Linked DNA regions of Elephas maximus indicus. The protein of the gene in region 3 interacts with the protein of the main gene of each other region in a pairwise test. Links are inferred from orthologs where the notes say so. Each region holds a gene or a part of one and is shown on either strand. Other genes may lie near its edges. The genes, in order: AKIRIN2, RTN4, SPG21 and CTPS2.

The links.
Region 1: the proteins of SPG21 (region 3) and AKIRIN2 interact in binary tests that used the Homo sapiens proteins (3 or more experiments, as listed by UniProt). The two-hybrid records come from large-scale screens. The link is inferred for Elephas maximus indicus from reciprocal best matches to the Homo sapiens genes SPG21 and AKIRIN2.
Region 2: the proteins of SPG21 (region 3) and RTN4 interact in a two-hybrid assay, tested with the Homo sapiens proteins (2 studies listed by BioGRID and IntAct). The two-hybrid records come from large-scale screens. The link is inferred for Elephas maximus indicus from reciprocal best matches to the Homo sapiens genes SPG21 and RTN4.
Region 4: the proteins of SPG21 (region 3) and CTPS2 interact in binary tests that used the Homo sapiens proteins (3 or more experiments, as listed by UniProt). The two-hybrid records come from large-scale screens. The link is inferred for Elephas maximus indicus from reciprocal best matches to the Homo sapiens genes SPG21 and CTPS2.

Annotation. Positions count from the first base shown.
Region 1 is NC_064819.1:151,247,806-151,255,326, forward strand, and holds the start of AKIRIN2 (akirin-2), read right to left. Parts: upstream 3,037-7,521; 5' UTR 2,451-3,036; coding exon 2,216-2,450; intron 1-2,215. UniProt on the Homo sapiens protein: Molecular adapter that acts as a bridge between a variety of multiprotein complexes, and which is involved in embryonic development, immunity, myogenesis and brain development.
Region 2 is NC_064844.1:7,147,699-7,155,018, reverse strand, and holds the start of RTN4 (reticulon-4), read right to left. Parts: upstream 3,062-7,320; 5' UTR 2,834-3,061; coding exon 2,239-2,833; intron 1-2,238. UniProt on the Homo sapiens protein: Required to induce the formation and stabilization of endoplasmic reticulum (ER) tubules. They regulate membrane morphogenesis in the ER by promoting tubular ER production.
Region 3 is NC_064831.1:55,137,344-55,145,401, reverse strand, and holds the start of SPG21 (maspardin), read left to right. Parts: upstream 1-5,004; 5' UTR 5,005-5,138; intron 5,139-8,058. UniProt on the Homo sapiens protein: May play a role as a negative regulatory factor in CD4-dependent T-cell activation.
Region 4 is NC_064846.1:162,888,651-162,896,206, reverse strand, and holds the start of CTPS2 (CTP synthase 2), read right to left. Parts: upstream 3,039-7,556; 5' UTR 2,828-3,038; intron 2,753-2,827; exon of another isoform or gene 2,476-2,752; intron 1-2,475. UniProt on the Homo sapiens protein: Catalyzes the ATP-dependent amination of UTP to CTP with either L-glutamine or ammonia as the source of nitrogen. Constitutes the rate-limiting enzyme in the synthesis of cytosine nucleotides.

The DNA.
Region 1 (7,521 bases), on a different chromosome or scaffold from region 3:
CAGATTTCAGGATATGATCAAGCTTTAAAAACAGATGTCGAAAAGTACCTTGAAGAAGACATAACCAGTGTTTTGAAAATGAAAGTGAATTTGAAGTAGCTGGCTTTAACAATTCCAACTGTTTTATTGTTAAAGTCCACTTAATCAATTGAAATATGTGAGATAACTCAGAGCCAACTGCATCAACCAATGCTACAAATATATAAATTAGATTACAGGCTTTCAAAGGATCACAATTCTTTCGGAATAAGTTACCTTTAAAGTGGGGAAAATGGTACAGCTTCGGGCTGGCTTACCATATGCTCAAGACTGTTTCAGCACTGAAATATACTTTAACTCCCAAACCTAACACTGTATTAATTCACTCCCTTGAAGGAAATTTATTGCTGGTTAGCTTACAGCTCCCAAACCCAACACTGTATTAATTCACCCCCTTGAAGGAAATTTATTGCTGGTTAGCTACAGCTATTTTTAAATGGCCTTGATAGTTAAGTACAGATTCCATGATACCATTTCAACTGACACCATTTCACTAAAAAGACAGACTCTAAATGTAATGTTAAATACCAGCTCATCCTGAACACTGTGTTTCCTTTATGTTTTCAAGTAAAGTTTCACAATAAATCAGTGAATGCCTTTACACAAAAGATGATTTTGATATGGTCATTAAATAAAAATACCTGTGAATTCAAGGCTCACTACCACTCTGAAACAGCATGCCCTTAAGTTAGACCAAATATTTAACAGCAAAAACGGAAGCCTGGGTATGTAAGCCCCCCCTCCCCAACCATCTGGAAAGGGAAATTAAAAACCTGACTTCAATACAATAAAATTTAAAACCAGTCAATTTCAAATTGAAGTTACCAAATACAGAGCTACATGCTGCCCACAGATTTTTGTTTGTTTTAAACTAAGGATAACAAGACATTTAAATCAAGCCATGAAAAAGGCTTTTTATCTAGGGTCATATTATTACCAAAGGCTCATATACAAAACCTTTGCGTGCTCCACACAAAGGAAACAGATTTACACTTCAAGTCCACAAAAGCCTATCCTAGGACTGTGCCAGGGGCACACAAGGCTTTCAAAGTACAGAAAAAATTGGGCATACACATGCTGTAGGGAGCAGCCAAAAGGCATTTCCCCATAGTCACTTTCAGAAAATGTTTCAACATGAAAAGAAAAAAGTCCCTCGGAATGTGGGGTTCATTTATTACTCTCAATGCCTAGGCTTTTTTCTCCCAACATATTTTCTTAGGCAGAAATAAAGCATTTCCAACTAAAAGCAAATGCTCAGCCCGTGTTTCCAATACCATTTGCTTGTCATTAGAAGTTCAGTATTCCTCGGGGTCTAGACGTTTAGCAAGGAGCCCTAGTAGCGCAGTGGTTAAGCGCTCGGCGGCTAACTGAAAGGTCAGTGGTTCCAACACTCTAGACCAGGAGAAAGATGTGGCAGTCTGCTTCCGTCAAGATTCAGTCTTGGAAACCCTATGGGGCACTTATACTCCGTCCTACAGGGTCGCTATGAGTCGGAATCGACTCGACGGCAATGGTTTTGGTTTTGACATATTGTGTGGTCATATTACCGTACCCGGGAAACGCATTTTCTTTGTTGTTGACCCTGCTAAAGAAACAGGTCTTGACTCACCCAAAGTGGCGTTCTTGTGGGTGATTAATGACAGGCCTAGAACTCGCCCCAGTGACATCCATCCCCACCCCCCACCCCCTCTATACTAAAATCAGCCATGTCTGAACTGGAGGAGGGGCTGCCGCCTCGCCTCAAGCCCCCCACCCCGCCGTCCTAGCGTTAATAGCTGCAACCAATCGATTCAGGCAAGAAAGACGAGATTCGAGTGAAATGTGACTCCTCTCTCGCCTAAATTTATGAATAATATCGCCTTATCTGATCGTTTCCGCTGGGCCTCTGCCGACTACGGAAACACTCAATTCCAGTCATTCAGCCTAGAGAAAAGCATCGTCCTCTTCCCCACAGTACCGGCAGAACACGGTTCCTACCCGCCCCACCTCCCGACCCCCATGACATAAACCCATTTCTATTGTGTCTCTGTAGCTGGAGAAACAAATTAAAAGAAATGTGCTTGCCCGGCTACTTAGCTCAGGACACGCGGAACAGTCCGGAACCCCCACTTCAGCAGCCGCATCCCGCGGCCCCGGGACCCCGGTCCTCTCCCCTACCCCGGCGGGCAGGACCCACCTGTAGTGAGGCGAGAGGAGACATCGCCGAAGGGGGACGGCTCCATTCGGTGATACTTCTGCGGCGAGGCAGCGGCGGCCGAGAAGGAGGCGGCTGTGGCCGCTGCCGCCGCCGACGGAGAGGCAGCGGCCGAGGTGGGCGCCGACAACGGTGCACATCGCCTCCGCTTTGGGGACGCCGGGCTCAGCAGTGGGTCGAAATCAAGAGTCCTTTTCAGAGTGGCTCCGCACGCCATGGCCGGGGGCAGCGAAGGCGCCGGGCTCGGGTGGGGTCGGGAAGGGGTGACGGGAGGGGGGGGAGGCAGAGGAAGGGAAGGGGGAACGCGGGGTCTGAGAAAGCCTAACCAACGGGTTCACAGAGATAAAGGCTGGTCGCCGAACGCCGGCTGAGGAGAAGAGAGCCGCCGCCGCCGCCGCCTCCGCGGCAGGGCAGTGGCCGGGGCCGGCGGGGGCAGGAACGAGAGGGGCGGTGGCGGCGGCTCACGCCAGCCGCGTCAGGGGGGGCTCTTCCGCCTCCTCAGGCGCGGCTCCCCGGGGAGAGGCTCTGGCCGCCCCCACCGTCCGTGCGAGCTTTGCGCCGCGCCTGAGGCGCTCCCGCGATGAGACTGGCTCCCTTCGGAAGTCGATAACAACCCCGAGAAGTGTGAGGCTTGAACGCGGCTCCTAAAGTCCCCGACTAGGGTCAGTAGCTTGCGAGCGGCGGTCGATGCGGAGGGATTACGAGGTGAGGCGGCTTCAGGAGCTCAAACAAACACGTCCAGCCGCTTTCCTCTCCACTGTATGACTCTTCCACCCGCCGCCGGCCCCAATATGGCGTCAACAACAACGCCGCCGATTCAAATCCTGCGGCCTCAAGGCGCGTGCGCGTAAGGGAGGTGCCACCCCCTCCCCTTAGGGTGTCTTATGGGAGTTGTAGTTTTTCTCCGTGAGAAAGACTCGGCCCGAAAGGCGCTGAGATACCTTCGGACAAACTACGACTCCCGTCTTGCAAGACGGGAGAGTCCGAGTTCCGGGTTGGATTTAAATCCCCCTTACACAGCTTGAATGTAAAAGGAACTGAGCTAAAGAGGTAAAAGCCGGAGGGGGAGAGAGGAGAGCAAACCCATGGCAAAAGCGGATTAAGAAATATACAGACCATAAAAACTCAGGAGGTAGTTATTCTCATACAATTCCCCCTAGTGAGTTAACAACTGGGAAATACAAAACTAAACCAACCTAACAGTCCAAGAAAGGTTAATTTCAATAATAAGAGTTCCAAAACCTGTCACATCGAGGGGCTAGAAAATGAGATTATGGAACCCAGTTAGGACTGCGAGCGACACTATTAGATTACAAGGTCCTCATTTGAACTCGATTTTTTCCCCTTCCCAGGTAGCTGCTTGCATCCACTTAATTCTGCAAAGACAGTTTTATTTCTGTAATAAATAGGATTTGAACAATGTCCAGAACCGAACTGTTTTGCTTTGGATAAAAAGCGAATAATATGAGAAATTGTATTATCTCTGTTGCATATTGGCGTATATCCTATGTGGATGGTAAGAATTAAAAAGACAATAAAATGTATAAACCAAAAAAAAAAACCAAACCCTTTGCTGTCCAGTCAGTTCCGACTCGTGGCAACCCCATGTGCTGAACTGCTTCATAATGTTTGTCTTGGAGGAAGTATAGCCAGAATGCTCTTTATAAGCCAGGATGACTAGACTTTGACTCAGGTACTTTGGACATGTTATCAGGAGGAACCGGTCCCTGGAGAAGGACATCATGTTTGGTAAAGTAGAGGGTCATTGAAAAAGAAAAACCCTCAACAAGATAGATTGACACAGTGGCTGCAACAATGGGCTCAAACAGCAGGGATTGTAAAGATGGCACAGGACTGGACAGTGTTTCATTCTGTTGTAGGTAGGGTTGCCATGAGTCGGAACTGGCTGGACAGCACCTAACAACAACAAAATTTTTATAGAAGCAAATCACCAGATCGTTCTTCTGTGGCACCACTGGATGAACACCAACCCCCAACCTTTAGGTTAGTACCGAAAACCCAATCAAACACATTGGTATTGTGTGGATTCTGAGTCATAGAGACCCTACAGGACAGAGTGGAACTGCCCCATAGAGTTTCCAAGGCTATAATCTTCACAGAGAACCCCTGGTGGCGCAGTAGTTAAGAACTATAGCTGCTAACCAAAACATCAGCAGTTCAAATCCATCATCCACTCCTTGGTAACTGTGTGGGACAGTTCTACTCTGTCCTGTAGGGTCGCCTCCACGGCAACAGGTAATCTTTACAGAAACTGTCACATCTTCCTGTTGTGGAGTGGCTTGTGGGTTCATACTGCCTTTGAGTTAGCAGGCAAGCACTTAACCACTGCACCATCAGGGTTCCTTTTAGGTTTGTAGTAAAGAGCAAATTGTTTGCACCACCCAGGGACCCAAATAAAATGTGTAAGTAGTAAATACTGAACCCACTTTGTAAGCAGAGAAAAAAAAGTTTATGAAAATTATACTCTTGTTCAGGTACTAAAATAATTAAATACAGCGTTAGTAAGAACTAGCATGTCCTCGGCCTATAGAAGCTGTCACCAGTCTAATACAAACTATTTTATGTGAATGGCATTCTATCAAATGATTATAGATGTCAAATACTGGCTTTCAATGCCCGTTTATTCAGTAACTAAAAGATGTTTTGTAGCCACTTTGTCTATTATTGTTTATACTGTTTTTGGATAGTAGTTCAATATGTGCTTATAGAATTGTCCAGCATTTCAAAGATCAGCAGTCCTGATCACAAGGTTAGTCTCAACAACTAAGCCATGTACATCTTAACTTATACTGTGGAAAATATCTTTTGAAAAGATCAGCTTTTAATGAGATACTAGTTTAACTATGACACTTACTAGATAAATTTTTACTAAATACTAAACTTTAATCCATGAAACCCATGAAACTATGGGTTTGGTTTTTTCTTTTTTTTCGGTTGTTGTTGTTAGCTGCCCTCCAGTCAGCCTCCAGCATAGCGACCCCACGAACAACTGAAAAACACTGCCCAGGCTTGTGCCTACTGACACTTTAAGACTCACCCCAGGGATTAACTCCTCCAGGAAGTCTTCTCAACCCTTCAGGGCTGAATTAGTTTTACTAGTGATAAATTATCTTCATCATTACCCTCACCACATTGTAATATAATTCTTTGTTCATAAATCTGCTTCTCTCATCGTTGTGTAAGCTCCTTGCCAATAGTACAGTGCGTTTTACTCTTTAATAAATACTCAGTGAATGTTCTTAAAGGATTATTTTTATCGCCCTATCCACATGGGGTCCCCGTAAGTCGGAATAGACTCCATGGCAACTCACAAAAACATCCTCCCACGGCCCACATCACCCTGTGCCTTAAGATAGATATCTGCTAAAATATTATAGCAACCGTTTTAGGGTAGAAGAAAGCTGATGGAGGAAAAAAAAAGAAGAAACCTAAAATAATCTTCGACTACAATTGAAAAACAAAACTATATTTAACACATTAATAATTTGAATCAGGTTACATGAACCTAAATATTGAGTACAGCAAGTGACTCCAGTGATCTACGAAGACCAGAATTGCTCTTGTTGTGACTAAAAGGCTTTTAAGGAATTTTAGAGGTTTGAATTATTTAGAATAGTTTTCCCATCATCTAACAAGTATTTTCTGATTTGTACAAATCTCAGAAGCCTCTGAAGAAAAACTGTTTTACCAACATGCTGGAATAACTTAGCATTAGGCTTTTCTAACACCTCCTAAAATATTCCCTAGGATCTGATTCTGATGAGTCATTCTTTGACTAAAGCCAGTAAAAGTAGACATGGCTGGGTGACACAAAGTCTCATCATCCTGAGCCTGAAGAGCCTCTTCATATTAAAAACCATCTTCAGACGGTTTTTCTGACATCAAGTAAAGATAAATGCAAATACATGAGGTGTGGAGAGACGTTTGCTAACTGCGTACTGAGTTTGAGTAATCATAGGGTCAGCATTAGGAAAAGCAGTTCTAATTCAGAAGCTACTTCAGATCTACATTGAGAATAAGCATTAAAATGTTTAATCATAGTGTGAATGAGCACAGTTAGGGAAGAATAGACATTGTAATTGGTTCCTCACAAGATTTTGTAGGCTGGCCCAAACCTCTTCTAAGCACCATGTTTGAAATACATACAATTCTTCATTGTAGATAAGATGCTGGCTAATTTTACTTTGGCTTCATTATTCTGAATTTGTGTCATTATTTTGAGTTGCTATTACAGAGTAATCAAAGCCATATGGCCTCAAGTAACCTCAATATGTCACATAGTCCAGCCTCAAGCCTCTAGGCAAGAATACCTATACTCTGCTCAAACCAGATAGGTATCTGTCTGACTTCCTAAAGATTTTCTGGAACAACATCCAGAATCCTGGTCAAGTGTAAAAACACCATTGCAAATTCTCTAATCTGGCTTTAATCTTTTCTACATTAGAAGCTGATTTCTACTTGTATCGTGCTCTATAAAGAACAGAGCACTCCAGGAAATAAGCTATAACTCACTTATCCTGAGGGACTTTCAAAGGAACACAGCACGATTTCTATGGAAATTTCTGTGGAAGGATTATAAGAAGTCCTTACTTTAAAATTTGCAGGGTGTTGTTCTCAAGGGAGAACCTCTGTACCTTACTCTGAAACTATTTAACTTAAAAATTCAGAATATTCTATCTCGTTTGGGGATTCTATTTCCCAGCCCAAACCAATTAGAAGAATCAAGTAGGAGTGGGAAAAGAGGACTGGAGATGCTGCTGTACACTGACTACAACAAACAATAGAAATCACTGAAGAGCAAGGAAAAAGACTATTAAAAGAAAAAAAAAAACTACAAAATTCAAAAAGCACAGCGGCCTTGAGCCACTTAAACATCAGGACAATTACAGAGCTCAATTGCACCTGAAGCATCCCTGCGTTATTATAGCACCGTGTGATAATGGTAGGGTTGCCAGATTTAACAAAGAAAAATATAGGAAGCTCAGTTAAATTTAAATTTCAGATCAAGTATTGTATGTGCTTTTCTGAAACTCAAATTTTACTAAGTGTCCTATATTTTAGCTGGCAACCCTAGATAATGCTGTGCAAGACAGTGACCCTGAGACATCAAGAAAAACCTCAAACTAAGTTTAGCAGGCTGTTCAAAAAGTGTTTCAGTTTTCACATTCCAATACAATATTAGTAAATGTCCTATTGATAGTATTTAAGAAAAAGTTTCAATTATCTGGCAAGCTAATTTAAGTGAAATAACTTGGGCTATCCCTGTC
Region 2 (7,320 bases), on a different chromosome or scaffold from region 3:
CTACATCAGTCTGCATAGGCCCTCTGAATCTTCAAAACTATGTTTTAGCTCCAAAATCACAATAAAATTAAATTTCAGGAGCATATTTCTAAAATAAACAGTATTTGCTTAAAAAGACCAAATTATTACCATGGCCTGTTAGACAACAAAAAGCACCTGCGTGCCAGTCACCTCTCCACCCTCCTTTTACACCACTCTCCCCCTGGTTTTACTCACTAGCCTTCTTACAGATTCTCAAGCATCCAAGAGCCTTTGCCCCAGGAGCTGCTTGGAACATTTCACACATCCTAATTAAACATTCTCCATGGCGTCACCCAGTTTATTTTCCTCATAGCACTTACCACCATTTCAAGTTTCTTATCCATGTTTATTCTCTGTACCCTGCCCCCAGGCAGGCACACGTCTTGCTTCTTGCTAGGTCCTCGGAGCCCAGAACAGTGCCTATCTCGTCAGGCAATCAATAATTTGCTGATCCAATGAAAAACGGTGTTAGGAAGACTAGACTCATTGATATGGCTATCTATGACTGTAACCACCATGTTCCTGCATCTAAGAAAGGCAGTATTCTCTCATCTCCTAAGTTTAGGGTTCCAACAGTCAAGATTCTAAGAGAATGAACGCAGTTACCTCCTGGACCACCACTGGTCAAAGAACAGAACTCTCCTCTCAGTTCCTATTCGGGGATCCAAGATAACAAGGCAGTATGCTTTCGTCAATGATTACATTTCCTTTCTGCAAATTTCTCGCTGCTTTATATTTTTATCCATCACCTTATTTTCCCTCAAGTGTTTCTTTTTGATACAGAAAAAAGGAAAGACTGAATTACTTCTCATCTTCTAAGACCTTCTGAGCAGTGCTGTGGGGCAGCCAATATTGAAACGTTATTTCAGAAGCATTGTCGCACTTGGCTTACTTTCCCTGAAAGGATAGGAGTGAACTGGAAGAAAAAAAAATCTATTGTGTGATCTCAAACTGATTTTCTTTTTCTAGAAAATGGACCACTCACTTCTAAAATTCTACAAGGCTATGAAGATTTCTCAGCAAGCATTTATACTACCTGATTCTTGACCTTTTACCTAAAGAAAGGTTACACAGCTGGTAGGGCATTTTGTGTCCCAAAAGAACAACCTACTGAGCCATGCACCTAACAAGTCCCCCAGTCTCTAACAAGCTTGATTTTTTTTCTCTTCCTAAATAGCTTCCCAAGATGAAAAGAGTAATAAAACAATGTTCTGAAAAATAATAACAATATACAATCAGCCACGCATACGAGTTAAGATTTAAAAACTCTTGGAGACCATACAGGTTTATCACTGGTGACCTAAAACTTCTCAGAAATAGTATATCTAACCAAAATATTTCATTAAGCCTCATGGGGAATCTGTCACAAGTCCAACTGGCCGGGTTCCAGCAAGGAATCTACAGATTTCCTCTTCTTTAAGGATGTCAACCATTTTGCTGTCTCCCCAACCCCCTTAAATTATGGTGCATCGAGGCCGAATCGGTCCACACTAACAATGCCCCCTCCCCCTGAGAGCCTGGCAGAACTGCGCCCCCTCGGACCACAATGCCCAGATGGCGTCTCGAAGGCTCAGTTCAGCTGGTGGGGAGTCGCCACCTCACAAGCCTGCTAAACTGGGCGGTGGCAGGCTTGGCCAGAACCCTCTCCTCCCCAACTGTCCCCGCACCACACCACTGGAGGCGCTCTCCCTACACTGCGGCTGGGTCAGTGTGGACGTTTTTTTCCATGAGGCCAGCTCCCCACTAGCGCAGAAGTGGGGTGTGGAGTCTGGAGCGCAGGGGGACTGCCTACACTAGCGAGGGGGTGGGAAGGGGGCCCTGGGCTGAATGACAACAGCCCCGCAGTGAAGCTGCACCCTTTCCCAGACGGGCAGACAAAAGCCTTTCCTAAAAGCTTAGGGCGCCAAGGGCTGCCCATCCCGACACCAAGCCAGCCCAGTGAGTCCACAACCCCAGTTCCTCCACCCACACCCACTACGGCGCGTGCCCCACTTCGGGGACGCAGTGGAATGGGGACCAGAGGGAAGGAAGGGGAGAAGGGAGGGTCGGGAGCGGGTGGGGTGCACGTGCTCCCCGAAACCCAGCCAGACAATGAAGCCGGGCTTCCCCGGCGCCCCACCCGTCTCCCCCGTCCGCAGACAAAGCCCCCCGGGGTCCGGAGGGCGGGCCGGCGCGCGTCGGGAGCTGCACACAAAGGGGCGAGGGCGCGGCACTCACCCGCGGAGCCCGAGGAGCCCTTGCGCTTGGGCGCGGCCGGCGTGGAGGGGGGCGCGGCGGGGGCCGGGGTCCACGCGGGCTCAGCCTGGGGGCTCATGCCGGCCGGGGGAGGAGGGGGCGGCCGGGCCGGGGGCTCGTCGTCCTCGGGGAGCGCGGAGGGCGAGGTTGCGGCCGCGGGCAGGCTCTGCGCGGGCACCGTGGCCGCCGCGGGACTGGGGTCCCAGGGCGCCGGGCGCTCGGGGGCGGCGGAGGGCGCGGCCGGCAGAGGGCCCCGGGGCGCCGGGGGCACCAGGTCATCCCCCAAGTCCAGCAGGGGCGCGGGGGCGGCGGGCGCCGGGGCGGAGGGCGCCGGGGCGGGCGCCGGGGCGGGCACCGGCGCGGCGGGCACCGGGGCGGCCGCCAGCCCGGCGGCGGGCTTCCTCTCCAGCACCTCCAGCTCCTCCAGGTCCTCGTCCTCGTCCTCCTCGTCCTCCTCCTCCTCCTCGTCCTCCTCGTCCTCCGGCTCCCGCACGAACTGGTACTTGAACTGGGGCTGCGGCCGGGGCGGGGTGTCCGCCGACGAGGACACCAGCGGCGACTGGTCCAGGTCTTCCATGGCGGCCGGGCTGCAGACGGTGCTGCCGCTTCTCCGCCGCCGCGCGCCGGCGCTGGTGGGGGCGGGGAGCACGGAGCGGGCCGGGCCCACCGAGCCGAGGGAGCTGCAGGGCCGACGACTCCCGGAACAATGAGCCTGCGCCTCCTGCCTCCGCGCGCTGATGCGCCAGCCGCCCGGTCCCCAGCTGCCGCCGCCGCCGCCCAGGCGACCAAGGAGAGGCCAGCCGACGCCCCGCCCCTTTTGGCGTGACTCACCCTCCCCCCGGGCGGGGCAGCGACTGGCGCGGGAGGGAGAGGGCCAATCGGCGCCGAGATGGGCGAGATGGACAACCAGCCGGCCCAACGGGAAGGGAAAGAGATGACGGCGGGCGGGGCTTGGCGCACTTCCTCTCTCTGACCGGCTGGGCATGAGTTCCGTGGGCGGGGTTTGGACCTGGGAGCCCCACCCCCACCCTGGGTGGATGGGCGACTGGGTGGGGTCTCGGCCTTGCCCGGTAGCTGGAGGTCGGTTTGTCGTTCAAGTCCAGCGACCCGGAGCCGACTGCGGACCGGAAGGGGTCGGAGGGCTTTCTGGCGCACCACCGGAAGGGCGTTATCCTGTTGGGCGGGGGGCGCGGTGTGGAAACTTTCCTCCCCGGAGAGGGAAAAACCCATAGTGTGGAAGGAGGCCTTCGTGATTTAAATACACATTCAATTGATAAAGAATTTGAAATAAAAGATGACTTTTTTCCAAACTTAACATTCCCAACCCACCTCATCACCCCCCAAGAAGTTTGTTTTGACAGTTAGGGTCGCTCCCCGCCTGAACTGCAGCCCTGGAATGACGCAGGCAAATAGGGCCGAGCAGAGGATCGGGGCGTTTGGGGTGGAGGGCCTCGCGGTCCGCTCATCTCCCTCCGGGAGGGTTTTGGGCACCGTGGCTGGACGTTCACATGGTGGATGGATGAGTCACCGAAGAGAGACGGGGAAGAGGGGGAAGTGGAAACAAAGAACGCCTCGGAAGGCAAATGGGGTTCGCGTTACCTCCCCAGTCACCTTGGGCTCGTCCGTCGACATCTCGGATGACTCAGGCTTTCTGGGAGTCAGGAAGCCCGATACACACTACTTGGATACGCCAGAATGAGTCTGCTCTTTATTCCTCTTTTCCCCAAACTGGAACGTTTAGAGAACGTGGTTGCAGACCATAAAAGAATCAGCATCCGGAGGTTTATGGATTCTTTTACCTTTCTCTGCAATGCCTTCTCCGCGAGGCCCTGGAGAGACGAGGATAACGTGCTCTCAAGTTGCTCGCTCTAGACCTGCGCTGGCCAGTGCTGTAGCCCCGGGTCACTTGTGGCTCAGAGCACTCGAAATGTGCTGTGTCAACATAAATGCACACCAGATTTCAAAGACTACTCTCCCCCCCAAAAAAGTATATAAAATATCTTTTTTTAATTTTGGTTGAAATTGATAATACTTTGGATATGTTGGGATAAGTAAAATATACCATTAATCTCACTTGTTTCATTTTACTTTTTTAATGTGACTATTAAAAAAAAACCGTTGCCATCAAGTCGATCCTGACTCAGCAACGGAAAGAACGGAGTAGAACTTGCCCAAAGGGTTTCTGAGAAGCGCCTGGTGGATTCAAACTGCCAGCCCTTTGGTTAGCAGCTGTAGCTCTTAACCACTACACGGCCAGGGTTTCCAATGTGACTACAGAAACTTGTAAATGCATATATAGCTCAGAATATATCTCTATTGGACAGTGGTAGTCTAGATTAATGATCGAGATATTTTAACTGCTGCTGAGAATCGCAGGTTATTTAAGCAAATTGTTAGCTCTAACTAATTAGTATTACCCTAAACCCACTGCCGTCAAGTCAATTCCGACTCATAGTGACCCTATAGGACAAAGCAGAACTGCCCCATAGAGTTTTCAAGGAGCACCTGGCAGATTCGAACTGCCGACCTTTTGGTTAGCAGCCCTATTACCCTAAAAAAAAAAAAGGAATCTAAAAAAAAAACGTAGAACAAGATTTCCTGGCAATGTTACCTGATCCAGTGAACTATCAACAATACATTTAAGGCCTAGCACTAATTCCACAAAGATAAACTGGCTTTATTACTCTCGAAATGGTTGTGAGTTGTTTGGGGTTTGTTTAGGTTGGGGTTTTTGAAAAGAGTAGGAAGAGAAAAGCATTGAAGTAGAATTTGGGGGTGATAGTGGTTAACACAGGAAAACCTGGTTGCTTAGTGGTTAAGTGCTACAGCTGCTAACCAAGAGGTCGGCAGTTCAAATCCACCAGGCGCTCCTTGGAAACTCTATGGAGCAGTTCTACTCTGTCCTATAGGGCCGCTATGAATCGGAATTGACTCGACAGCAATGGGGTTTTTAGTGGTTAACAAATGTTCTGTCTTCAACTTAAAACTTCTCTCTTCAAACCTTCTACTGGCTTATTTTGCTGATAAGGTAATGCCAGGTTAAAACTGATTCCTACAATGATGACTGAAATAGTCACGTTTTGAGTATTTGTCAAAAATTACCTAAAATATACATGATTTTCAACTAATTGTATACATATACAAAAATATACTAGCAAAATGTTTATGGTACAAACTTTTTCTATGAAGTCACAGTTCGGCTGTTTCTCCTACTATGGTTGTTTTGAAACAGCTGAATGGGAAGTTACACAGGGTTCTCCTGTATCATCTGTAAGTTACTTATGTGATATTTCTGTATTCCTGTGTCTCTGTACCTGCTACTACTAAAATAGTCTCAAAGGAATATTCTTAATCTATTGAAAGTTTTATAAAAGAATGAGTATAGTCCATGTTACGGAAAAGTAGTAGAGCTGCAACGTTAATAGTAAACAGCGATGAATTCTGATGCACTCTCCTCTGATGCAGAAGAAAAATAAGAATTTTATATTATTGATCTCAGCAGCTTCTAAAAATTAATATTTGATGCGTGAATAAGAGTAAGGCATTTACCCAGCGTCTGTAGGATGGTCAACAAAGCACAAAGAAAGGAGAACGTTGCTGCTATACCAGAATTATAAGCTAGTTACGCCTTAGTGTAATTAGATGCAAAGGCTGCTCTCGCTAACAAAATTCTGGTGGACGTTTGGAACGCTTAAGGAAAAAATGCAAATTCTAAATCATAAGAGTTTGAGAATAATTATTTAGTGAAATATCTTTGAAATGATCTTACCAGAAGTAAAGGATTAAAGTTCCCAGATATCTACTTCTTAGGAACTGTTGTCTCTCAGAACACTACCTGAGATCCGTTCAGAGACTCCTAGAATCTCAGAGCCAGAAGGGTTCTGAGAGGTCAGCTTGACCTACCTCCCTCCATGACAAGAACTCCCTAGGAAGGTTTATAAAGTTGGTCTTCTGTGGTAGATTAAAAATGGCCACAAACTCTTCGCAGCAAGTCCCATCAAGAGTTGAAGTCTATCGCCTCACCTCGCCTAAGGTGGGCTTGTGACTTACTTGATCAATAGAATATTCTAGAAGTGAGTTCCAAGCCTAACCACCAGGGGCGCTACAGCTTCCTCTTTCCCCCTCTTGGAATGCTGAGGCCCTGTGAAAAAACCTAGACTATTTATCCCTGTTGCTATGATACTGAACAGGTTTTAGCAGAGCTTCCAGCCTAAGATGAACTAGGAAGAAAGGCCTAGAGATCTACTTCTGAAAATCAGCCAGTGAAAACCTTATGAATCACATCAGGGTGAACGACAATCAATCACAGGGATGATGCAGGACTGGGCAGCATTTCATTCCCTTGTGCATGGGGTCGCCATGAGTCAGAGCTGACCGGAAGGCAGCTAATGGTATTCATTATGGAAGATGGAAATCACATGGTCAGAGCGACCTAGCCATCTGAGCCACTCAACTCATGTCCCAGAAATGAGAGTGAGGCCATCTCAGATGTCCAGCCAACCCACAGAATCATAAAAAATGATGAATCATTGTTATTTTCAACCTCTTGAGGTGGTTCATTACACAGCAAAAGCTAATTGAAACATCATCCAATTTTGCTTTATTCATTCACACAAGAAATATTTGTTGGGTATTTACTATGTACCAGGCACTGTTCTGGAGCCCTGGTGGTGCAGTGGTTAAGAGCTCAGACTGCAAACCAAAGGGTGGGCAGTTCGAATCCACCAGCTGCTCTTTGGAAACCATATGTGGCAGTTCTACTCTGTCCTGTATGGTCACTATGAGTTGGAATGGACTGGCCAACAACAGGTTTGATTTTGGGTTTTTTTTTTAAGGCACTGCTTAGGTCTCTGGGGATACAGCATTGAATAAAACAGACACAAACGTGCTTGAACATTTTCAGCAAAGGGAGACTCACTTCTTAGCGAAACAGCCCATTTCTTCTTTATAGTATTACACATTGTTGCAGAAAATGCTGAATTGATATAACCTGGTATATGCAGAATGGTTAATTGTTTTTTTTTTTTTACATCGTGGGATGTGGATTCCAGAGGGGGTTCAGAC
Region 3 (8,058 bases):
TTCCCTGTATTGAGTATTGTCCTTCCCTTCACCTAAAGTAGTTCTTATCTACTAACTAATCAGTAAATAACCCTCTCCCACCCTCCCTCCCTCCCCCCTCTCATAACCACAAAAGAATGTGTTCTTCTCAGTTTATACTATTTCTCAAGATCTTATAATAGTGGTCTTATACAATTATTTGTCCTTTTGCATCTGACTAATTTCACTCAGCATAATGCCTTCCAGGTTCCTCCGTGTTATGAAATGTTTCACAGATTCCTCACTAATCTTTACCGATGCGTAGTATTCCATTGTGTGAATGTACCACAATTTATTTAACCATTCATCCGTTGATGGACACCTTGGTTACGTCCAGCTTTTTGCTACTGTAAACACTGTGCAGGGATATTTTTATAAAAATAATAAATTTCTGCTGCAACAGTGCACAAAAATTTTATAGACAGTTATTTTGGTGTCACCCCCTCTGACAGTGTCGCCTGGTGCAGTCTGTACCCCTTACACCCCCTTAATGATGCCACTGATCCATGAAATGAAGAATCATACCTACTTTGCAAGGATTGTCATGAAGAATAGAAATAATATATATAACACACCTAGCACAGTGCCTGGAACACAGTCAGTTCTCAATACCGATACTATTAGCTAATATTTACTGAGTGCTGGCCCCATTTCTAAGGATGTGACATGGACTATCTCATTTTATCTTTGCAATAACCTTGTAAGGCAGGTACTGTTATTTATCTTCCTTTTTCTGGATGAGGTGACCAAAGCGCAAGAATGTTAAATAGCTCATAAGTGGTGAGCTGGTATTTACACCTTGGGTTTGTCTGACTCCAGTCTGAGGGCCTAACCATTCTAATACGCTGCCTCTACTTGCAAATGTTTTTATCCTTCATCTGGGAATTTAAGGTGTTAGACTTTGGCTTTCAGAAGCTAAGGAAGGAGCACACATGCTAATCCAGTGCCCGTTATATGCAGGGACTGTACTATCCGGTTTCAAAAAGATTTTTCTCATTTTAGTCACAACTTAATCACTGTCTTTTTTTTACCTTTACAAATTTCGATAATTCTCTAGAATCTTACAGTCAGAAGCTGCTTTATTTTGTATTAAAACAGTGACACTCTTGTTTTCCAAGATTCTTTATTGCTGTTTTTATCCCAAGATGGCAAATTACCAGCTTTTACAGGAGGGACATTATGAGCTCCTGGGTTGGCAGATGATACAAAAAACTCGGCACCTTTGCTTAGCAGTTCCTATTTTAATAAGTGAACAGTTAACAAACAATAAGTCTTCCAACAAGTTAAAATACTGTTTCAGTTAAATCGGCATTTTTTGTGTATAGGCTAATTTTTTTAAAGTTTAATTGGAAATCAGAAAGGGGGGATTAACAGAAGTTTTTCAAGGAAAGGCTATTGCAAAGATTTTTAAATACGTTCCTCATAAATTTATAGAATACAAGATCTTAGAATCAGAAAGGACTTAGAGACCTTTTAGTCCATCCTTGGACTCTTTTTACAGGGAAGTCAAGTCAGGCCTCAAGAGGAAATGTCTGCCCAGGGAAAGAACTCAGGTTTCTTAGTTACCCAATCATAACTAATTAGCAATGATAAATAACTGTATATAACTCCTCTTTGATGGGGTCTTTAGGTAGCAGGCTAAAGAAGAGCCATGTCAGCATCTTTCTTGGGCAGTTCCAGAATCCCCACTTGTCTGATCCCTAGAATCCAGTGCAGTGTGCATTTGACACAGAGCTGCATTCATTTTCAGTCTTGGGTTTCAGCATAATTGGTATGTAACACTGCAGTTAATCACACCTCGAGAAGCTTTAAAGAGAGGTATTTCAAGAATTGGTATTTGTCTGAAAAACCAAGTGTTTTGTTACAGATATTAAATTCACAGATTTTAAATGTTCCTTATTTGGACAGGAAACCCTGGTGGTGTAGTGGTTAAAAGCTATGGCTGCTAACCAAAAGATCAGCAGTTTGAATCCACCAGGCGCTCCTTGGAAACTCTATGGGGCAGTTTTACTCTGTCTTATAGGGTTTCTATGAGTCGACCACAACAGGTTTGGTTTGGTTTTGGTTTTGTTTGGATTAGAAAATGGACAATGTGCTTGTCATGTGATATGGAATAACTTCAGGACCCAAACATGACTGTGGGGTCCTTTTCACTTTTTCACAGATCCATGGTTCCTGGAGGCAAAATGTGGGTATTCACTCTAAGCGGTTCACTGGAGGAAACAGCATATATCATGTGAAACCACATGGGGTATTTGGGACCCTTGCAGCAGCTGGTATGATGAGAGTACCTTGGTCCCATAGAGAGGTCGGTCAAGAGCCTGACCTGCTCAAACGAGCTTGGACTTTAGTTTGAAGGCAGTGGTATTGAAAGCCAGGGAGTCGCACAAACATCCAAAAAAACCAAACCCATTGCCACTGAGTCGATTCCAACTCATAGTGACCCTACAGGGCAGAGTAGAACATAGCTGCGTTTTATTATTTTTATCACACAAATACATGAATGCATTCTTATACAGATTCAAATACTACATCTAAAGCCAAAAGATTTCTTCACCACCCCCTCACCCTACCTTCAATTACTCCTCAAAGATAATCACTATCCTGTTTGGTGTGTATGCTTTTCAACATTAAAAAAAAAAAAATTCACTGATGTATATATATGCATAGAGATATATCTAGAATTGTCTTTTAGGTGTGTTTTAAACTCTATGCATGTGTGAACACAGTTGCTTGGAGTTGAGCCCTTCTGAGACCCAGCTGGCCATGTTTACTTTGGTGTTCACAGCATATTTTGTGAGCATTCCAGTTTTCACATGAGATTCTAACACAGGGACTGGTGCTGTGGGAACCATCTGGTAGACCCCAACCACAACAGCTGCAAACCCTCCCAGCAACATCCACAATGTTGGCCTGCACTGTGGTGTACCCTGGGTCAAAAGTTTGCTGCCGGCAGCTGTGCCTTACAGGACAGCTGGAATTCCCAGGTATTAAATGTTCCTTGTTCAGATTAGAAAATGGGCAGTTTGGTTGTCATGTGTTATGGAACAACTGAGGATCCAAACAGGGCCATGGGGTCTTTTTCTAATGGAAACAAGCAAACTAGTCATTATTTTTGGGGTCTAATCTTTTACATTGTAACAAAAGTAGGTACATAACAAAACATAGCTTTATACCTGTTGCCTTTGAGTCAAATGGACTCATAGCGACCCTATAGCTATCTAGTGATATGTTTTTTTATTATCAACAGTCAAGTTCAAAATTATTATTACCAAACCTAACAGACAAGGACTTCTAATATTTATGGGCATAGTCAATCCATAGCTTAGATCTCATCAGGGCTGTTACTAAAGTGAGGTGTAGGGATGTGAGGTCTAAGGAATCGTAGGAATACATGTGGATGGATTTATTCATTCACTCATGCATGCACGTATTCATTCATTCAACATGAGTGGGAATTGACTCTGTGGGATACAACACTCTCATATACGTACCTGGCCTCCCTGTCAGACTGAGCCAGTGGCCATTTCCTAAGTGACTCTTAGCTTTCCTCCCACTTCTGTGCCAATGTTCCAGTCTTCTTTCTGTTTTATCCTGATTGCTAACACAAACCTTATGTCTTTTTGTATTTTTCCAGTGTCTCTTTAAAGTTCTTGTGAATTTTTTTGGTTTTTAATGGAAATAAATTATTAGGACATGTCCTATGGCACTGGCTGAACCCCTGTTGCCTTTGCTTTCCATAGAAGCTCCTGGCCACCTTGGGGACAGAGAACAAATGTAATGAGTTTCCATAATGGGTTTTACATACAAGGAGTGATTTGAGAGCTATTCCATTCATTAAACTATTCTAAATTTTTGAGAAAAGCCCTCTAATGTTGGAAACATGCCCTATACGCCAATATGGTGCTTATAATAAAGGATTACTTCCTGTGACTGACTCTGAATTCTGAAAGAGGTGATTTGGAGAAAATCAGGTGACTGTGTCACTGTGCTCTTGGGAAATACATTTGGTATTTGTCCAAGTTCTAGACTGGGACCCACAGCTCCTGGGCAGAGAGGACAGAAGTCATGACTAAAGACGCAATTTACTAGTCATGTCCCCTGACCTGAATTTTGTGAACACTAGACAGGGTAAGGGCAAAGTCTGAAGAAGGCCTTCCAGTAAAGCAGATTAGGGAGAGGCACTTTCAGCAGGACCTTGTTGCAAGATCATACAGGGAGATTTACATGTTGTTCAGCCTTATACATTATTTCAATGCAAACCTGCGACTATTTTATTGACAGGATGTCGTGACTTTTCCAGGACCTTGCTTGAGAACAGTGATCGTAAGTACATCAACATTCTCTATGCCCTTAAGGGTAAAGTGATGGAGCAGGAAGCTCCTTCGGAGCCTGTTCCGGAAATCCCCCAGAACGTCAGCACACAGCTGGAAAGGGAGGTGGGGCACTCGCTACCGTGCCAGGAAAAGAGTATACAGAACCCCGTGCCCCAAAACCTGGAACCCAAGGGGATGCCCTCAAGCTTTACACGGCAGAGGGGAAACGGCGGGCACCTACTTTCTCCAAGTGGACGCGAACTGAATGCAGAAGCGGGTCCCAGGGGACCCAGCGCTCTCTTCTTTCCCACGACTTTCCCCTAGATGCCCAACTCAGTACAGGCGACCGAAAGCCGACCCAGAGGCAACACAGACCTGTCAGCACCTGACGCCACAGCCAGGTGCGGCGCCCGCTGCCCCAGCCTTAGGCGGGATCCCGCGAGCGTCTAGGAGCCTCCGACCCCTGGCGCCAACCCGCCGCGTCACCATGGAGACCGCCGGAGCCACGCGGCCCGCCCCTTCCTCGTGACGTGGCCCCGCCCGCCGCCAAACCCGGAAGCGCAAGGCCGGCGCCCGCTGTGCGGAGGGTGCGGGAGGGGGAGCGCGGCGGCGGAGGCGGTGGCCCAGGCTCGCTCGGCTGCGCGCCCCGCCCCTCGGAGGCCGGCCCTGCAGCGCGCCCCTGCCGCCGTCCGCCCTGCGGGTCCTGAGCGCTCGTGCCGGGCCCGGACCCCCGACTCCCCGGCCAGCCGCCTCCCCGGCCCGAGCCGGGCCTGAAGGGGAAGGGCCGTGGGCTGACCACGGCAGGTGAGGGGTGGGCGAGGCCGTGGGAAGTGGGCTGGGGGCGTGTGTAGGGTGCGCGGCTGCTTCGGTCGGTGTGACTGTACGGGTGGCCCCGAGTGGGCAGGTCCATGTGACGGTGTGCGTGACTGCAAGCCTGTGTGTGTCTGTGTCTGTGTGTCTGAGGCCGAACCTGGGTCCTGGGGGTGGTCGCTGTGCCTGGGGCTCCGCCTTTATGTGGCTGCAACCGGTGGGCCCGGGTGAGGGTGGGTGGGGGATTGTGTGTGGGTCGCCTCGGGGAGCTTGCCCAGGCAGGGCATCCTCCTGTAAACCCAGCCCGGGCTACGCAGCCTCAGCCAGGAACATTTTTTTCGGTAAACTTTTAGGAACTCTGGGCAGAGGCTGGTTATTTCGGAGATTGCACCTCAGCCTGAAAGTCACAAATGCCTTTGTCATTGCTGAGGAAGGCCAGGTATGAGGCTCGTGGATGAGGGTGAGGAAAGTCACAGCGCTAGGATGTCTGTTTTCCTGGGGAGCTACAGGCTTGGGCTTAGGCTGCTGCTTTGTTTTCACCTACAAGGGGTGGTCCAGCTCCAGTTGGCACAAAAATCCGAAAGACTGAGGAGTAATTTAACAGTTGTGTCCGAATTTCCAAAAACTTTTATACCGAGAGCACAAGATGCCGTGTCACAGAAGAGATGCTGAGCAGACAGCTTTTTCTTCCATGAAGTTTAGAAAATAATGGAATAGGTTCCTGAAGAAAAGGATATATCTTCCCTGAAAATATATTTAAAAGATAGCTATGTGCTGGTGTCTAGGTCTGGAGACTTGCCTTAAAAAGCCGATTGCATCACCTAGAGACTCCTGGGTACTATTATTTTGTTATTGTTGGTATTAATAACAATCAGAGACTGTCCATATGTAGATCAACTATGGGTTGAGGTAAAAGATGGGAAGTCTCTGACTGGGTAAGCTCATTATGTGACTTCTTAAACGTTTGTGAAGGCCATTTTGTTGCCTGTAACCTGGCTGGTTCTGTTGAAATCCTGAGGGACAAGTGTCTGATCCTCCAGGCAGGCTCAACGGCTGACAGTTTTGTTGTCCAGCAGCATAAGGGCCAGGGAGGACTGGGTGTCCTCAGCACACCCTAGGACAGATTTCCTTAGGCAAGATTGAGGCTAATCTATTTGGCACTTTTCTGACCAGCACGAAAAGGTGCTTTTGTGTTTTGTGAAGAACTGAATTGTGAGAGATCAAATCAGTATTGAGCTCACGATGCGCGTTCTTGTTTAATACTGGTCAATTTGGTCACAGCCTTGGTTCATCTTCTCTGCCGTGTTCAGAATGTACGTCTTGTGACTTCAGTGGATGAAGGAGCCCCTGGGTAGTGCACACAGTTAAGCACTCAGCTACTATCAGAAAGGTTGGTGGTTTGAATCTGCCCAGAGGTGCCTTGGAAGAAAGCCCCAGTGATGTACTTCTGAAAGATCACAGCCATTGAAAAACCTATGGAGGAACCCTTTTCCACTTACTGTTGTGGGGAAGAGGTCTGTGCCTGAGTGAATTTGTGTGCCTGTGTATGATGCGTACATGCCTGTTAGTATAGTAGTTAGGTTTGTACATTGCAACTGATCCCAAAACTGTGAACAATAAATTAAATTATTACTCTGAAACACATGGGATGGCCAGGAGTGAGAATTGTCTCCACAGCTACTGGTTGGTTTAGTGGATGGGAAAAAAGGTAGGAGAACAAACTTTCCTTTTCCTACCACTCACAGCTGCTTTGCCTTTGCTGCAGTGAGATTTTTTCCAGGGAGATGTCTGTTGGTCAGCCGTAACATTTGGTATCTCTGTTGCCTTTCAAGTACTGCCAAACTAGCACAAGTGTTACAATCACTTGTCTCCATAAAAATTTAGTCACAGTTGGATGTTATATCTCCATCCAGCAGGGTTAGTTATAAAATGTTATAATACTTAGGTGGTTTTGAATAGGACTGAGGACTGTTGGTAAGGAACTCCTTTCTACTGATCGCCTGCTGTGGGGAAGAAGTCTGTGACTGAGTGGATTTGCATGCCTTTGTATGATGCGTACATGCATGTTTGTACAGTAGTTTGGTTTGTATGTTGCAATTGATCCCAAAACTCTGAAGTTTATTTTATCTCAAATTTGGGGAATCTAGAAGCAGACTTTCTGCCTTTAATTAGCTAAGATGTTTTTATAAATCTATCAAGTAGATTTTATTTGCTAAACATGTTTTTTATATTGCTTCCTATAGGATAGAGTAATTGTTTCTAGTGATGCATTACTGTAACATGTCTAGTATTTCAAATCCGTCCAGGTAAAAAAATACAACAGGATTAATTATATGTGCTAGTTGCTTTTAACTAAAAGTAATAATCAGCTTAGGGAGAGACTCCAGCTCAGGTGGCTTAGATTTTTCAACGTGGTAATATTTGTGAAGATGAAATGGATATGCAGAGAATGGTGTTCTTTATTTCTGTGTGAGTAATAACCACGTCTGTGCACATTGATTTTCAGCACAAGACTGGCTGATGATTTTCTTGGTACTTCAAAGCAACTTATGATTTTAACAAGCTTTTCTAAAACTACCGTCTTAGCCTTGAGAGAAGAGACCATTATTACAATGTCCGAGTTGTAAATCAAGTTTAGTATTGGAATGTCTAGATTTACTGTCTCCTTATTTTTAGGGTTTAGTTTAGTAACACCTCAAGGTTAGAGGTGACAGCAGAGACTGCTGCGTGTCCTGTGTTCCTGAAGGGCTAAGGAGGAAGAGCGCCACTGGATTTAGAACCCCTCACTCCTTGCCAGTCCAGAGGACTCCGTCTAAAACGACAGTTCAGCGTCAGCCAGGAATAAAATCCTAGAGTCTCGAACTCGTCTTAGCCCTACCAGGAAATCCAGGCTTGCCCTGGGGCAGAGAGCAGG
Region 4 (7,556 bases), on a different chromosome or scaffold from region 3:
CAGGTTTTTATCCAGCACATGGAAACCCTAGTGACATAGTGGTAATAATAGTACTTACCTCAGAGACTTATTTGGGGATTTACAAAGCATGCATAAGGGATAAATAAAGGTAGCTGTTACCATTTCTCAGCGCCACCTACTCACTTATTTGATCAGCTCTCAAGTGTTTATCGAACATCTCTTAGTGCTTGAGGAAACCCTGGTGGTGTAGTGGTTAAGTGCTACGGCTGCTAACCAAAAGGTCAGCAGTTCGAATCCACCAGGCACTCCTCGGAAACTCTACAGGGCAGTTCTACCCTGTCCTACAGGGCTGCTATGAATCAGAATTGACTCGACGGCAACGGGTTTTTTTTTATTAGTGCTTTTTTTTTTTTTAGTGCTTGAAGGTCCCTAGGTCGTGCAAACGGTTTGCTCTCAGCTACTAACCAAAAGGTTGGTGGTTCGAACCCACTCAGTGGAACCATGGAAGAAAGGCCTGTAAATTTGTTTCCATAAAGATTAAAATACACGCAAAAAAAGCCATGTTGCCGTCGAGTCGATTCCGACTCACAGAGACTCTATAGAACAGAGTAGAACTGCCCTATAGAGTTTCCAGGGAGCACCTGGTGGATTCGAACTGCTGACCTTTATTGGTTAGCAGCTGTAGAACTTAACCACTGCACCACCAGGGTTTCCTCCATAAAGATTACAACCAAGAAACCCCTGTGGAGCAGTTTTACTCTATAACAAATGGGGTCACCACGAGTCAAAATCAATTGGATGGCAATGGGTTTGTTTTTTTTATTTTATTAGTGCTTGACTTGTTCCCAGTTCCTGGGGCTATAGGAGTAAACAAAAAAGACAACATCTCTGTCTTCTCAGATTTCACATTTCCCACGGGATTAAAGGGAAAATAACTGTTTCTCTAATTTTACCATATTCTAAAACCTATGCTACGTGAAAAAAGCATGATATAAAATTGAACACAATATTATCTCAACTAAGTTTAATTATGACTGGTCAAAAGTACACCAAAATGTTCATTTTTAATATATTTAGGCATTTGGGTTGTAGGCAATTACTAGTTTTCTGTTTTTCACACACACAGGGTGCCTTTTTAAGCACTTGCGATATTTTAGAAAGTCCTTGAAAATGTAACTTATCGCCCAGCTATAGCTAGTCCTTTCTACCTCTTTTAAGCAAACAAGTAAGTGAAACAAAGTTTAAAACCTGCAGAAGTCAGGCTCTGTTTTAGATCACTTCCTTGCGATGGGAATAGCTTCCCTTGTGAAGATTCAACTTTTTCATTTACTGTAATAACAGGAAGCAGAGCCAAATGTTTCTAAAATAGGAGCGTAGAGCTGCGCTGTCCAACAAAAATATGTGAGCCACGTGTCTCATTTTAAATCTTCTAGTAGCCACATGAAAAATTGAAAACAGCTGAAGTGAATTTTAATGTTATTACTTAACCCAATACATTCCAAATATTATCATTTTAACGAGTATTCAACATAAAATTTCATTTATGAGATATTTAACATTCTTTTTCTGTACTAAGTCTTCCGAAATTAGCTGCGTATGCTCATAGCACATCTCAGCGCAGACAAGCCACGTTTCCAGCGCTCAGTGGCCGCACGTGGCGGTGCTACCATATTGGGCTTCGCAGACCCAGAGCACACACCAAACACCAGAAGACCCCTTCTCAGTGATGGCCACTTAAAAATTACTTTTAGTCAAACAGAAAAGAGTATCCACTGAATGATCCCATTTTTATTAAGTTCTAGAACAGGCAAAACTAAGTAAGCTATGACAGAAATCAGAACTGTGGGCGGGGATTGACTGGAAAGGAGCGCGAAGGAAAGTGGGTGATGGAAACATTCTATGTCTCCTTTGGGGGAGTGATTGTAACGGCTGTATAATTTGTCAAGTCTCACTGATCTGCACACTTAAAACTGGTGCATTTTACTGTATATAAATTAAACATCGGTTTAAAAAAAAAAGATGCCAAAAAAAGCTATTTGGTGGCACTAGCGCAGTTCAGCGCCGTGCTCCACAGCCAGCTATTAAGGGGGAAAGCCAGGGTTGTTGCTGCAAGTGCGCCCGGCTGGGGGAAGGGGATGGCCCTCGGCGCGGGGCCCCACTTCCGCGAGCGTGGTCCCGGGGCGCTCAGGCCCCGAGTGCGGGGAGGAAGGGAGGGATCGGGGCGCCGCGGCGCGGAGAGGGAGTTGGGCAACGCCCGGCGCCGGACGCCCACGGGCGGGCTCCGACGGGCGCGGGCAGGGCGGTGCCCCGGCTCCCTGCGCCGGCCCACTCCCGGGACACGCCGGCTCTGGGCCGAGCGCGGACTCTGCGCAGGGGCAAGCGCCGCCGCCATCGGGGCGGGGGACAAAGGCGCCACGGCGCGCCGGGGCTGGGGGCACAGGGCCGGCCGAGGGGCACGGGCGCGGAGGCTCTGGGGGTCCCGGAGGCGCGGGGGAGACCCGGGCGGGAAGTTACCTGCGCGGTGGTGGCGGCGCCGGGCTGGGTGGCCGGTGGCGACGGCAGGCTCCGCCCCGCGGCCTGCCTGGCACTCACCTGTGGGACCGGGCGATGAAGGCGGCCGCCGCTAGGGGTGTCCGGAGTCCCCACCGGTCCTCCCGCCGCCCACGCGGGCCTCTCCCCTTGTGCCCTGCAGCCCGCCCGGCTGATTCTGGCCGGGGAGCCTGGGGCTGACACCCGAGTCTGGGCAACGGCCAACACCAAGCGCTAAAAGTGCCTCCTCTGGCACCGCCAGCCCCCGCCCACCGCCCGGGGCGCCCGCGGCCCCAGGCCTCGCTCTTCCCAACCCGCTCCCCCAGCCGCAGCTCACTTGGCACTGGCACTCCCGACGCGCGGTTAACTTCACGGTCCCCGGCGAGCCCCGGCCCCTTCTGCGGCCAAGCCCCCAGCCTGGGTCCTCCCGTCCAGCTCTCACTATTGTGAAGAGCTGCGCTCTGTCACAAACGTTTGCTGATCCCTGACTATGCGCCAGAAACTGCAGGAGCGCTCAGGAGAGGGCGAAAGAAAACGGAATTCTGCGTTTGAGGGGCTCGCCGTCTGGCGGGAGAGCTACAAAAGGACTGGAATCAGTGAAGTTTCATAGAAGGAGAAGTTGCTGGAGGGCGGGGGGAGAAGTCAGAGAACAATCAGAGCTTCAGAGTAACTTAAGAGGATTTGGTGGTTGGCTGGTGTTGAGAAAGGACACCAGAGGTTATTAAGGAGAAGGGAAGAGCTTACAAAGCACCAGGAGAAAGACTCTAACGGTGTCTGAGCATTTGCTAGGTAACAGCTCCCTTAAACAGGCTTTCTCATTTGCATTGTTACCTCCTTTTACAAGTAGGGACCAAAAACAGAAACCGTTGCAATCACAGAGTGACCCCATGCGTGTCAGAGTAGAACTGTGCTCCACAGAGTTTTCAATGGCTGTGACTTTTCAGAAGTAGACCGCCAGGCCTTTCTTCGGAGGTGTCTGGGTGGACTTGAACCCTTATGCCACCCAGCGGCTTACAAATAAGGGCATTTGGTTTCAAAGACCCTAAGTTACTGCCTTTAAAAGGGGTCTCTCCTTGCAAAGTCTTGCTGTTAGTGCTAACCCCCTCCTACCTTAGGAAAACAAAGTGCATATTCTAGGAACTATATTCAGGGGCCTAAGGGTCTTTTTTTTAAGGGTCTGGTTTTCTTTGGAGTGGTCCAAGTAGAAGATGAGGAGGAGGCACAGATGCACAGTGCTATCTTTACCAAATCAGGGAGTACCAGAGGAACAAATCAGATTGAACCAAGGAGGAGAACTCCTTCAGCTATGGGCCTAACTAAGGGATCTAGGAGCCAGCAGGGTAAGAGGTCTTCCTAGACTTCTGGGCGTATGGGTTTAGGGATCAGGAAAAGGACCTAGAGATATAGGTAGTGAAAGCCACCAGTGTTGAACTTATGTAAGGAAACAGTGTAGAGAAAGAAAAAGAGGACTGGAAATCACCAATGATATGTAAAAAGGGAATTTGTTTAAAAATTGTCTGCCAGTAAGGCCACTGATCTGAATTGTTCTTTATCTGTACTTGCTTCCCAGCTATCTCAAAGAAAGGTGTTGCCCTTCTCTCCTCAGAGCTAAGCCCTACCTAGAAGGAGAACTAGCAAATGCAATAGGAGCAGAAGCGGTTGCAAACAAGAAGGGAAAGAAGCAGGAGAGGATCGTTTTTTTTTTTTCAGAAAGCCAGGTGCTCCTGAGCTGTCTGCCAGGTGCCTCAGAGAACACAGGGAAGTAAAGACTGAAAAGTACACTTCCAATTTAGGGAGAGCAACCAGCGTCTTCACGGGAACTCTTTTTCAGCAGTGCAGTGGGGTCGGAAACCATATCGCTCATGGATCGAAGAGTAAGGAAAATTGAGATGGTAAGTCAAGACAGCCTTTTGCAAAGCCTGAAATGGAAAGAAGCAGTGGAAAAATGATAAAAACCAAAAACCCGACTCACAGAGACCCTATAGGACAGAGTAGAACTGCCCCATGGGGTTTCCAAAGAGTGCCTGGTGGATTCGAACTGCCAGCCTTCCAGTTAACAGCTGTTGCATTTAACCACTACGCCACCAGGGTTTCCAGAAAAATGATAGGTAAGTAAATTTTAAGTATGTTTATGGGTTGAAGGGAAGGAGGGAGAAGTTAAAGATACAGGAGAGAAGATTAGAGTCCCAGGGAAGAGATATAGAGTGCAGATGGATAGAATTAGCTTTCAGCCAGAGGAGAAATGTCTCTTCCTTTGAGATTGGAGGGAAAGAGGTAAGGAAAGGTGAGAATACAGAAAATGTGTGCGTATAGGGATGGGAAGCTGAAAGAGTTTGGCCCAGAAAGAGGACTTCTGTTTTCTCTATCGTATAGCCAGGGCTATCTACAGAAAATAGAAGGTTTTGAAGTGAAATGGAAGGTTTAAGAAAGTGGTAAAAGTTTTGAATAACCAGTCTGAGACACTAGAGGGACAAGTTAGTCAAGTGTCACTAAAAAAAAAAAAATTCAAACCAGTTGCCATCAAGTCAATTCTGACTGACTCATGATGATCCCATGTGTTGCAGAGTAGGACTACACTCCATAGGGTTTTCAAGGCTATGACCTTTCAGAAGCTATGACCTTTCAGAAGCAGATCACGAGAACCTACCTCTGGGTAGGTTTCAGTCACCAACCTTTTGATTAGTAGTTGAGCACTTAACCATTTGTTCCACTCAGGGACTTCACTGAAGACCTAGTGAAGTTTAAGAACCATAATTGTGTAGTGATGTTCAGCTATAATTTTGCAAGATATATAGAATAAAACCAAAAAACCAAACCCATTGCCGTTGAGTTGATTCCAACTCATAGGGACCCTGTAAGACAGAGTAGAACTACCACATAGAGTTTCCAAGGAGCGCCTGGTAGATTTGAACTACTGATCTTTTGGTTAGCAGCTGTAGCACTTAACCACTACACCACCAGGGTTTCCAAATATATATATAGATAAACATAGATAAAAAAATATAGATACTTATGATAAAAGCAGAGATTGCTGGTTGGGTACAGTAGAAGGACAAGACGGGGAGGGAGTTGAGGGTGCTAAAAGAGTGAGATTGTAGTAATGGAATAGGGGTCTAGTGTGTAGAGGAAAGGAACTGAACCCAGCAGGGAGCTAAGAGATGGGGAAAAAAGAAAAGAGAAGGATCAAAAGACTGGAGGCTCAAAGGAAGAATGAAGAACACCAAGGACACAAGGTAATTATGAGCCCAAGAAACAGAAAGGACCACATAAACCAGAGACTACATTAGCCTGAGACCAGAAGAACTAGATGGTGCCCGGCCACAACCGATGACTGCCCTGACAGGAAACACAACAGAGAACCTCTGAGGGAGCAGGAGAGCAGTGGGATGCAGACCCCAAATTCTCATAAAAAGACCAGACTTAATGGTCAGACTGGGACTAGAAGGACCCCAGAAGTCATAGTCCCCAGACCTTCTGTTAGCCCAAGACAGGAACCATTCCCAAAGCCAACTCTTCAGACTGGGATTGGACTGGACTATGGGATGGAAAATAATACTGATGAAGAATGAGCTGCTTGGATCAAGTAGACACATGAAACTATGTTGGCATCTCCTATCTGGAGGGGAGATGAGAGGGCAAAGGGGGCCAGAAGCTGGCCGAGTGGACAAGAGAAGAGAGAGTGGAGGGAGGGAGTGTGCTGTCTCATTGGGGGGAGAGCAATTAGGAGTGTAAATCAGGATGTATATAAGTTTTTGTATGAGAAACTGACATGATTTGTAAACTTTCACTTAAGGCACATTAAAAATTATTAAAAAAAAAAGACTGGAGGCTCAATTCAAAGAGGGCCTATGAGAATGGGAGAACTGGTACGCTGTCACCAGAGAGTGTGATGTGGGAGTCAAAGACTTCAAAGGGGAAGCAGTTAGAGGAGATGATAAGATGTAGGGTATGACCACTCATACGGAATAAAAAGTGAGATGGCGATCACTGGAATTGGATCTAGCACTTACAAGGCGAGTGTATTGGGCATTGAGGGCTGCATGAAGGAGGTGGGAGTTGAGGAGTAAATTGAGGCCCAGGACCCAAATCTTCAGTGAATGTAGGAAGTAACCCTGGAGCTAACAGATGAAGACAACAGAGAAGGATAAAGAGTTGTATGTTGTTGTTAGTTGCTGTCAAGTCGATTCCAACTCATGGCGACCCCATGTGTGCACAGTAGAACTGGGCTTTATAGGGTTTTCAAGGCTGTGACCTTTCGGAAGCAGATCACCAGGCCTGTCTTCCTAGGCACCTCTGGATGGGTTCAAACTGCCAACCTTTTGGCTAGTAGTTAAGTACTTAACCATTTGCCCCACACAGCTGCCTAAAGAGTTGTATAGCAAAATTTGTTTCAAAACAAAAGGGAGACTTTCTCCTATGAAGGGTGAAAGAGATGTGTTGTGGAAGAGGCAGTAAGGGGCTAGGGATACTGATGTCAGCTTCTGAGAAAATGAGCACAGGCTTTACTCGGGGTCATCCTTAGGGATCCTCATTACAAAAAAAAGAACTCATTGCTGTAGAGTCCATTCTGACTCATAGCAACCCTATAAGACAGAGTAGAACTGTCCCATGGGGGGGCCCCACGGAGTGACTGGTGGATCTGAACTGCCGACCTTTTGGTTAGCAGCCCAATGCTTAACCACTGCACCACCAGGGCTCCAGTGGAGACCCAGGTCTCCGTAAAGGCCGAAATAAGGAGGAAACACCTTGTGAAAAGGCTGGAGATACAGATAGATGGGTTTATCAATGAAGCAAGCCTTCTAGAGCACCCAGTGGAAAGGATGTTTGTGAAATAGGTGATCTCAACAGTAATACTTATTACCTGCCAGGTACACAAGGCTTTCCTTCCATATTTCAGTACTTTATTTCCAATTTACAACCAGGGCCGTTATACTCTTCTAATGAGGAACCCAAGGCTCAGAGATGGGAAGTGCCTTGTCCAAATGTACATGAGTTAATGTGAGTGCCAAAGCAAGGACTTCGGTCCAAAATGTCTGTCTCCAAAGCCAGACTTTTCTCCACAGGAT